Cricetulus griseus: one gene and its partner. The protein of the gene in region 1 interacts with the protein of each later gene in a pairwise test. Links are inferred from orthologs where the notes say so. Each region holds a gene or a part of one and is shown on either strand. Other genes may lie near its edges.

What was found.
Region 2: the proteins of Nmi (region 1) and Brms1 interact in binary tests that used the Homo sapiens proteins (3 or more experiments, as listed by UniProt). The link is inferred for Cricetulus griseus from reciprocal best matches to the Homo sapiens genes NMI and BRMS1.

What each region holds. Positions count from the first base shown.
Region 1 is NC_048599.1:122,375,900-122,381,485, forward strand, and holds the start of Nmi (N-myc-interactor), read left to right. Parts: upstream 1-1,797; 5' UTR 1,798-1,935; intron 1,936-4,223; 5' UTR 4,224-4,245; coding exon 4,246-4,314; intron 4,315-5,500; coding exon 5,501-5,586. UniProt on the Homo sapiens protein: Acts as a signaling pathway regulator involved in innate immune system response.
Region 2 is NC_048596.1:54,236,704-54,241,049, forward strand, and holds the end of Brms1 (breast cancer metastasis-suppressor 1), read right to left. Parts: intron 4,125-4,346; coding exon 4,032-4,124; intron 2,913-4,031; coding exon 2,848-2,912; intron 2,237-2,847; coding exon 2,197-2,236; intron 1,856-2,196; coding exon 1,848-1,855; 3' UTR 1,403-1,847; downstream 1-1,402. Other genes in the region: Rin1 (ras and Rab interactor 1), read right to left, coding at 95-275, 423-577. UniProt on the Homo sapiens protein: Transcriptional repressor. Down-regulates transcription activation by NF-kappa-B by promoting the deacetylation of RELA at 'Lys-310'. Promotes HDAC1 binding to promoter regions.

The sequences.
Region 1 (5,586 bases):
GCACTAGAGATGCCAAGGCAGAAAGGTTGTGAGTTCTAGACCAGCTTAAACAAAACAAAATAGAAAAATAGAATATATGCATCGTGAGAGCAGTTGGGGAGTTATTTCAGGAGAAGAAAGAGATGATAGAGAGATTCCCTAAGCAGGTAAAAGTGTTTGTCTGGCAAGAACCCACATACACAAGCCAGATTCAGTGACCCACTTACACCTGTACTTTTGGCACTCCTACTTAGAGATGGGAGGGGAAGATAGAAAGAATCATCCAGAAGCTCTAGTGGCACCTGCTCCTTACTCCCATAACAACAACATTAACAAAAGATGCTAGTCTCTCAAACATCTTCCTCTCTACTCATCCCTTTGCTTTCCCATAAGTCTATATTAGACCAGCTACTCTGTAGTCATTGTTATGTCTCCTAGTATCTCCTTCCAAAGACAAAAATAAATTTAAACAAGAAGAAAATTGTATTGAACTAGTAACCCCTGGTTGTCAAAAGACAAAAATTACAACAAATGTAGTTTAAAAACCAAGTTGACTTTTTAATTTGTGATTCTAGAATCAGAATCTGCTGAATAGGGCAGATAATACTTTTATAAGTCAAAAATGAAGGGGTGGCTGAAGATCGTAAACCCAACACAAAAACAAATAGGCTGTCAAAAACCACACTTTTAGGTTTGTTTTTATTTAATGTGTATGAGTGTTTCAAGGGCATGTATCTGCATCACTTATTTGTCCACGGAGGCCAGAAGAGGGCGTTCATCCTCTGGAACTGGAGTGACAGTAGGTTGTGGGGTACTAGCTCTGTAAAAGAAACAAATGCCCCTAACCACTGAGCCATCTCTCCAGCCTCCAAATAGCTGTTTTAAAGTTCTTGTGTTATAAAGGTTAAAGCTATAATAGCTAATAAAGCTATTATTCTGCCATGTAAAACTGGCTTGCTTAGGGATTTGGCCATAATCTGTCATCTGACTTATTGGAAGGATAACTTTCTTCTCCATGACCTGGGATTTCAACATGAGCTTTTTCTCTGACCTGCTGGACTAATCCACAAACTCCGTCCAAACCAATGACCTCTTTTAATTTCTCATTAACAAATTCATGCTCCTGTTAAAATTCAGAAGAAAACCTACGTAATACACAGACCTTTTGCACTTTCCAAAGACAACACACAAGACACTATCTTTAATTTTTTTAAGGCGTGGTCTCACTATGTAGCTCTGGTGTCAACTGTAAACAGGGTCCTATCAGTGTTCTTGATGGCAAGGAATTTGCTTCTGGCAATGTGTTATTTTAGACCGAAGTTATTGGTTACTAAGCACAGCTATAAGACCCCGGGATCTTTTTGCTGCCATCCACGTCTCTGTACTCATGAGCGGCACAGCTGTCCGGAGTGGTTCTTCGAGTGGGATTAGGAAACACTACCGTTCTAGAGAGAAGCCAGTTATTTTTCTGGCAAAGGAAAAGTTCACATCTATCGAAGTGTTTGTTTACAAAATGTTCACAACATAAACAAAGATTAGAAGAAAACTTACAAGGGACGAGGGCATAGAAACCAACCCTGGAAACGGCCTTCCCAGCTTCACGGTCCATTTTGGGTTGGCGTCAAACTTTGTAGCGGTCTAGGAAATTACGTTGAGCTCTGGGATTTGGACAGAGAGCTGTGCCTTCAGTTGCTATCCAGTGAGTTCCGCGTAACGCACACAAAAATACACTTTTCAAAGGCCGTCCTAGAATTCCAGCCGAGATAGGAACATCAGCAATAGCGCCCGGACAAAGTCTGCAGGACATGAAACCAAAACATCCTGTTTTTAAAACAATCGAAACTGAAAGTATCGCGGGTGATTGAGCGCTGCTGTTCGCAGGGACTAGGTTTGTGCTTTCGCGTTGGGATTCGGTTCTAATCGCCGCTGGCTTCCGGGAGCTGCACGGCGGAGGGGGTGAGTGCTCGTCCTGTCCCGTCTACCCCCCCCCCCCGCCCCCAAGTCAGGGATGCTCCGCGAGTCGTGGGGCGGGTTTAGGGTGGGGGCGGTGTCCAGCCCAGCCTGGTAGGTTGAAGGCTTGGGGTCGGGGTCCCGGGCTTGCTGCCTGGGGATGCGCCCAAAAGGGCGCTGTGCTCCGGCCTGGTCGTGCTTCGCCCTCCCGGGAAATGGAAACTTAGAATGAGTGTTCTTAGGAAAATCGATTTCTCAGGAAGACAATTTTTTCCTTGGCAGGCGCTGCCGTTAAAAGGAGAATATTCAATAAAAATTATAGGAGGCCACTGATTTGGGCTGAGAAGTCTTATGCACCTGAGGTGCTCATTCTAACTTGTGTGCTCCAGAAGGGAACTTTTCACGTGTCCTGCCCAACAGGGGTAGAGGGAAAGCGGCGGGTTACATTGGGCAAGAGAATGAAATCACCACTGCTTTAATCCCCCCAAAGCACCTGGATGTTCACCAACCAGTTAGTTATTCTATTTCTATCCCCGGCCCAGCCTTGCAAAGAACCTAACCTTGAATCAAGCAGTTCACTTTCTGTGTTTTGTTTTGTTTTGTTTTTTCCCCAGCTTTCTTCTCTGTTTGTAAACCCAAACCCAACTTCTGCCAGCACACACACACATCAAAATATCAGCTTTCTGTTTACATTGTGCTGGTTTTGAACTCTTGATCATCCTGTTACAGGCCTGTGCCACCATAACCAGATAGACTATTTTATTCGAAAGTGTCACCTGATTGTAAAATTGCAAAAGAAGCACTATTAGGAACTTTTTGGTTTTTGAGACAGGGTTTCTCTGAGGCTGTCCTGGAACTAGCTCTTGTAGACCAGGCTTAATTAGGAACTTTTAATTATTAAAATTTTATTCATCTTTTGACATGTTTCTGGTCTATACAACATGCATACATTATGTTTCTTTCTTTATGCTGCCAGGCCCAACATGGTGATGTAAATATAGTTAGGAAGAATAGTTTGTTTGTTTTTTTAAAATTTACTGCCATAATAAATTACATGACCTTGGTGGCTTATACACAGATGCACATACACACTTCAATTTAAAGATATTTATTTTTAGTGTCATTTTAAAATTGGATGTGCTTATGTGTGTCTGTATGTGCATGGACTGGGGTCCCTTTATGAGCCACTTGATTTGGGGCCTGGGAACTGAGCCTGGGTCTTCTGCTAGATGAACGGACTGTTAGGTACAGAGTACCGCCTCTCCATCCCCATACTTCTCAGCTGTAGGAGTCTGAAGGTTTCCCAGGGTACAGTAAAGGCGCTTGCTGAGAGCTGTCTTCCTTCTGTCCTGGAAGCTCTTGGGATGAATCCCTCTCCTTTGCTTGGCTCAGCATCCTTCTGTCATCTTCAAAGACAGTATCAGCATTACTTCTCTGATTATGTCTCTGCCTCATACTCAGTCTAACTTTTGTGTTGTTCCCTCTTTAACTCAGTCCTTCTGGATTAAGTTGAGTTTTCGTGAACAATGTAGGATGTTGTCCATATTTTATTCATTTATTATTATTATTTTTTTTGTGTGTGTGCATGTGTGTACATACTTGGGCATGTACCTGTGGAGCTTAGAGATGGAAGTCTGGTATCCTCTTCTACTTTGCTGAGTCAGGGTCTCTCACTGGACCTGCATCTTCCTGATTGGCCAGGTTGGGTGACATCATCACACCTTGTTTTCTATGTGGGAGGCCAGGATGGAAGGTACCAGTACTTACCCAGTAGGCACTTTCCCCCTGAGCCATCTCCCCAGCCTCTATGTCCATATTTTAAAGACAGACAATCAGCATCCTGAATTGGGTTTGCAGCCTCAAATCTCTACGATCTTGCTCTTGCTATTCACACTATGCTCTCGATTCTCTGTCTCCTGCTATTCTCTCCTCTCTCACAGATAGCCCTGGCTATGTCCAGTCTGCTGACCGTGTTCAGTCTACTTCCTCTCTCTGCTCTGGACTCTTCCAGATGCCTCTAGATGTTTTCTCTTGTTCATAATAAAGACCTTAACCATACCATGGAGCAGTCATGTTGGCAGGTCCTTTAATGAGCCTCGCTCCTGCTCCTATGCAATTAGGGAAGTGAAATTCTTCAAAATACAGACGATGTTTGGCTGTAAGTCACATGACAAGACTTAGATGATAGAAAAAAAAACAATACAAAGCAAAGAAGGCATGTTTCTTGCACAAAAGGGTAAAATCTGTATTTTCTTTTTTTTTCCTTGAATTTGTGTTGTATATGGTTGTAAAAGCACCCCCTTTTACTAGAAAATCATGGATGCTGATACTGACAACAAAAAGCACTCACCAGAGAAAGAAGTTATGAAAACTGAACAAAATGAGGTAAAATTATTAGTAGATGCTGTTAAGAATGATTTGTGCCTTTTTTTGTTTGTTTGTTTGAGATAGGGTTTCTCTGTGTAACAGTTCTGGCTATCATGGAACTTATTTTGTAGACCAGGCTGGCCTTGAATTCACTGAGATCTGACTTCCTCTGCCTCCCAAGTGCTGGGATTAAAGGCATGTGCCACCACTGCCCGGCTGTGCCTGTTCATTTTTAAGTAACATGCACTTTTTGTCTGTGCTAAATATTACCTTGGCATTGTAAGGCTTTGGGGCTTTTCTAAAGATCCTTACATTTGTTGTATTGTAAAACTTTATACTAAGAGTTGTGTTCCAATGTGTTTTCTTAAAAAATTAAGTGTTTTCTCACCTTCTTTTTTGGGTTTATAGCAGCAAGTGAAATGTGAGCAATTACCTAATGAGACCCAAGTGGGAACAGAGGCCCAGGTGCTCAGAGATGTTAGCAAGGCATATGTTTCGTTGTCAAAGCAGTTGACTACTCTTGGAATCATTGCTAATAAACAGAGAAAAAAAAAAACCACCAATAACCCCACCTAAAAATAAAACAAACAAATAGAAAACAACAACAACAACAACAAAACCAATAAAAAACTGCCTCAGTGTAATGTGTCCACAATTACAGTGCAATTGAAAGTCATATTATAGTTACAGATAGCTTAGAAAGGAGAATTTAACTAAGTCCAGGAGGTCTGAGTCTCTCACTCCTTGCCTTAATTGTAAAATATTCTGTATCTAATGTGGAAGACAACACTTTCTTTGATCATGTAATAGAGCTAAAGAATCTTGGTAGGATTAGGAGAACTGCCAGGGCCTGGAGAGATGACTCAGCAGTTAAGAGCACTGCCTGTTCTTTCAGAGGACCTGGGTTCAATTCCCAGCATCTACATAGTGGCTTACAACTGTCTGTAACTCCAGGAGATATTAGCCTTTTACGCAGACATATATTTGGGAAAACACCAATGCATATGAAATAAAAAAAAGTCATTAAAAAAAAGGCGAAGAGCCATCGGGCAATGAAGTAAGTGCACTCTGAAAGTAGGCATATTTATTCTGAGGCTGTCCTAAGGCTTCCTAGGTTTGGGGTGGGGGAATTTGCATCTTTAATTAATCTAGAAAAGGCATCTTGAAGGTGGTTAATTTTTTTCTATTATTTGGTGTTTTTTAGGGATTAATTCATGAAATTATGAGGGAAAACTTGCACCTGGAACAGGAGATCAAAAAGCTTGAAGCAGAGTTATGTTCGGACGCCAG
Region 2 (4,346 bases), on another chromosome or scaffold:
AGTGAATAGGATTAGGAGGCTCAATGCCTCCATGTCCAGGCCCTTTCTCTCCCACCCTTGGTGAGCCAGTCCTGGAGGAAGGGAAAAGACTCACCCCTGGAGGCTCTGTCCTCAACACGTGTAGTGCGGCTGCAGCGTTGGCCCGCAACTGTAACCACACCGGCCGGGTGATGAGCAGCCGTTCCCGCAGACTCACGGTGCGTGCTGGTTGTTGGGCCCCGCCTGCCTGTGCCCTGCTGGCGTCAGGCGTGTCATACAGAGGGTCTGGAGATGGACTGGGGGCAGACACGCAGACCTGAGCAGGGGTCTGGGCAAGCACCTCTTCCCCGTCCTGGGCTTCCCACCTATCCATCTGTCTTTGCCAGACCTTCCTGTCACTGCCCTCACCCCCTGCACCCAGTTGCCCTCCCAACTTCACTAACTTTTCTTTCTGTTGGTGCCCAGGAACAAAGTTTAGGTTGGCAGTTCCCAAAGGGTGTGCTTCTGTATCCCCAGGGTCTTCCATGGCTAGGAGCTCCTTCAGCTTCTCCTGGGACTCAGGAAGAGAATCCAACCCCCAAGGCACAGGCGGGCACATTCCTAGCGGTGAGTAACACTTCCTGAAGGCGGTTCACCCTGTCACGCCCCGCCAGTTAACTCTTGTATGTCCACTCCATGTGGCCAGTGTCCACTTCTATTCTGGGCCCAGCCTTGAATGGCAGGGGCCCCCTTTATGTTAGTGTCACTATTAGGGCCTCAGCTGTGGGAGGACCACCTCCACACAGCGTTTCCTCATATAGAACCTCACACTATGCAGCTGGGTAGGGAGGAGTTAAACAGGGCAGACCAAGTTCCCACAGGCCCAAGTCTCACCCCTGTGTCACCTCAAGAAGTCTGTGGTCACTTGCTCATCTGCTTCTGCCTTGGAGGGGGTCACCCTTGTGGGAGAGCACCCCCTACTGGTCACAGATGACTCATTCCTGAACCTAACTTGGGTTTTGTGATTTCAGGTTGCTATGGAGAAAGGATGCTGTGTCTCCATGGAAACTAAACCCTTTGCTTAACTGAGGTTCTGGGGGTGGTTCTGACACTCATGCTAACCAGGGGAGAGTGTGGCTGTGAGGTTGTCAGCACATGGTGCTGCTGCTAGCTGCCTCCCACACACAGGCCCTGCCAGCCTGCCTGCCAATCTGCCAAGTGACTGGGGCAGGTGCAGACATGACCTGGCCTCCAGGCATGCCTTCATCCAAGGCCATGTGCTTCATTTGTTTGCCTGGGCCACACCACGTGTAGACTCCAGCTCTGGGCCCAGGCTCGTTTCTAAGTCACAATGTTCTGAACAACAGGGACCCCAGAAGAGTCTGTCCCAGGTGTTCCCCATAAAGCCTTGATTCCTTTTAAGAGAACAGCAGACACACACTGGTCAAGGTCCAAGGATGAGTTTTATTCCAGTCTTTAGAATCTGGGAGGCAGACACCAGGAATGGCCCTGAGAAAGTCTGGGAAGATGCCATCTCCAGCGATAGCTAGGAGGGGCAAGACCCCAACATGTTTCTGGCTCAAGAGTTCCCCAGCTCCTGGCTCAGTGGGGAGGGCTGCTGCTGTCATATGAAGCCTATCTTTATTGGGGGGACAATAAAGGAAGTTACTCTTGGGGGGGGGGCAGGAACGGAGTCTTGCTTGGCCAGGTCAGCTTCAGGGTCACGGCTATGCAGATCCCAAGGAGAGCAGAGGAGCCCAGGCCAGTGTTGGTCAGGGGACAGCAGTAACACTGGAGGACTACCAGGCAACCCCCTGCCTTTGCAGAAAAATGTTAGTCCTGTGTGTGGTGCCAGCTGCTCCAAGGACCCTCTGAGTGGAAATGCAGTGTCAGGGTCCTAGGGGCAATGGGAAAATCACTACAAGGAAGGTGAATCAAAGAGAACAACCACTGCCTGAGGCCCTGGGGAAACACCATACTCCCCTCACCCACAGGGCTTCCTTTCCCTGCCCTCTGACCCACCCTGCTGCGGGCCAGCTCCAGTCCACCTTTATCTCTCTGTGGTGCTGAACTTGGGACCAGAGGCTTACCCATGCTAGGCAAGCACTCTACCACTGGGCCCTCCATTTTACCTTTACAAGTCCTTGCCAATCTGGTTCCTATTCCCCAAACTCCCACAAAATCCTCAAAGTGAGATCAAGCTATGGATTCTGACAGGGCCACCTCTTTGGTTCTTACCATCTGGTTTTCTCTTCTGAGGAGACACTGCTGCCCTGGCCTGGGTGTAGAGAAGACAGGGGCCTTTAGAGTCTACTTTAACTTGTTGACACTGCCCCCTCTACACCAAGGGTGAAAGCTGCTGAGTCAAATTGCATGAAATATAAAAAACTCCCTACACCAAGCTCTCTCAGGGGCAGCTTTTCTCTTGTTCATCAAAACTGTCTGGATTGGCCGGGCGTTGGTAGCGCACACCTTTAATCCCAGCACTCAGGAGGCAGAGGCAGGCGCATCTCTGTGAGTTTGAGGCCAGCCTGGTCTCCAGAGCGAGTGCCAGGATAGGCTCCAAAGCTACACAGAGAAACCCTGTCTCAGGGAAGAAAAAAAAAAAAACAAAAAAAAAACAAAAAACAAACAAACAAAAAAAAACAACAAAAAAAAAACCTGTCTGGACCAACGGCTAACCAGAACACATCCTTTTCCTTCCTCAGGTCAGTCTAGGAGGACTACAAATAAGCTACCACAAAGTTGGTACCAGGGCTGAGGCAGATATTGCTGAGGGGCAGGCAGAAAACTCCCTAAATACCCTCAGATACCAGAGCTGTCATGAGTGTATGAGAGAGGGGTGGGGGTGGCAGAGCAGGATGGGTAAACAGGCAGCAGCAGACCTACCTTTTTGATAGCCGTCCAGTCTTCCAGAATGTCGATCTCCTGCAGCATGTATACAATGTATGGGCCTGCACAGGGGTCAAGGAAGAAAGATGACAACAGGAGACAGGGGACAAGGCTCCACTGGATGGCCACAGGTGGCAGTGCCACCTGTCTCCTGCTTAGGAGAGGTGGTACATCGGTAGTGTGGAGGGGGTGACAAGAGCCTTTTTATTTTTTGAGACACAGTCTCTATGTAGCCCTGGCTGGCCTGGAACTCACAGAGAGCTGCCTGCCTCTGCCTCCTGAGTGCTGGGATTAAAGGTGTGTGCCTTTACACTCAGTAAGACCCTGGGCTTAATCCAAGCTCCACCTCCTGCCTCAGGGACCCTAGTTCTTGGTGAGTGTGGGGATTGTGGTGGGCACAAAACCTTACCCATTCCCTTCACACACACTCATATTTTTTTTTTTTCCAGATCAGCTGACCAAGGCCCATCCTATCCTGAGGGGCCCTGCTCCTGCTGCTTTGTCTGGCTCTGTCAGGAACTGGCTCATTGGACCCTTCCTCACCTAAATGTAAATAGTGGCCTCTTCCCTCCTGATAGCACACTATGCTATGGATCTGAAATTTACCTTTACCCACAATGGTTCAATAAAATCTCCATCCCACCTCCATCCTGAGGTGGTCCCAGGGCTGACACTGTGGATGTGGAAGATCTCAGTGCTATGCTGTGCAGCACATGAGAGTCAAAGACAGTGAGTCCCCTGTCTCACTGTTCAATACAGAAGAGAACACATGTATAGGGCTGGGGGCTATGGACCAGGAGAGACCTCAGAGGACACAGCATCTGACATGACACCCCTGCCCAGACAAGCAATAGCTCCAGAAGGGTCAAGCAAGGCCTGAGAGCATGGAGTTTGACCAAATATAAGGACATTGAGGGAAAGCCACAAGGCTCCAAAGGCTGATCCTTTCTCAGGAAATTACTATGAGTCAGTGAGCTGAGTTTTCTGTTTCTTTGGGGTCCACTGAGCTCAAGAGGACATAGGACACAGAAGAAAATCCTGACAACTGGACATTTCAGGTGACACCAAATGACCATAAATGATTCTAGTTTGACTCTGTCCCACACAATCCCTCTAACTTCCCTGAGTCCAGGGCCTGCCTTGTCCTGCCCAGTTTCAGGGGACTTTGAGTGGAAGGATACCAGAAACGAGAGGTGCCTTCTTCCTCTTGCTGGGTGGCAATGAGTCCCAGGTCTTTGAGCTGCCTCTGGCGTGTAGTTTGTCATCCCACCACTCTGTGCCCAGAGACTCAGAGTCAGGATCAGGACAGTGACCCACAGGTAACTCCCACTATCCCTGTGGTTTTACCATGGACCAGCCTGGCCTCCCCTCCCTTCCCCATCACCACCAGGGCAGTGGCCCCAACCTTGGGCTTGAGGCTGGTGACCTCTTGGGACCACTGAGGTCCTTACTGCATTTGGTGCAAGCCGGCAAAGATGAGATGACACTGCCCTTCG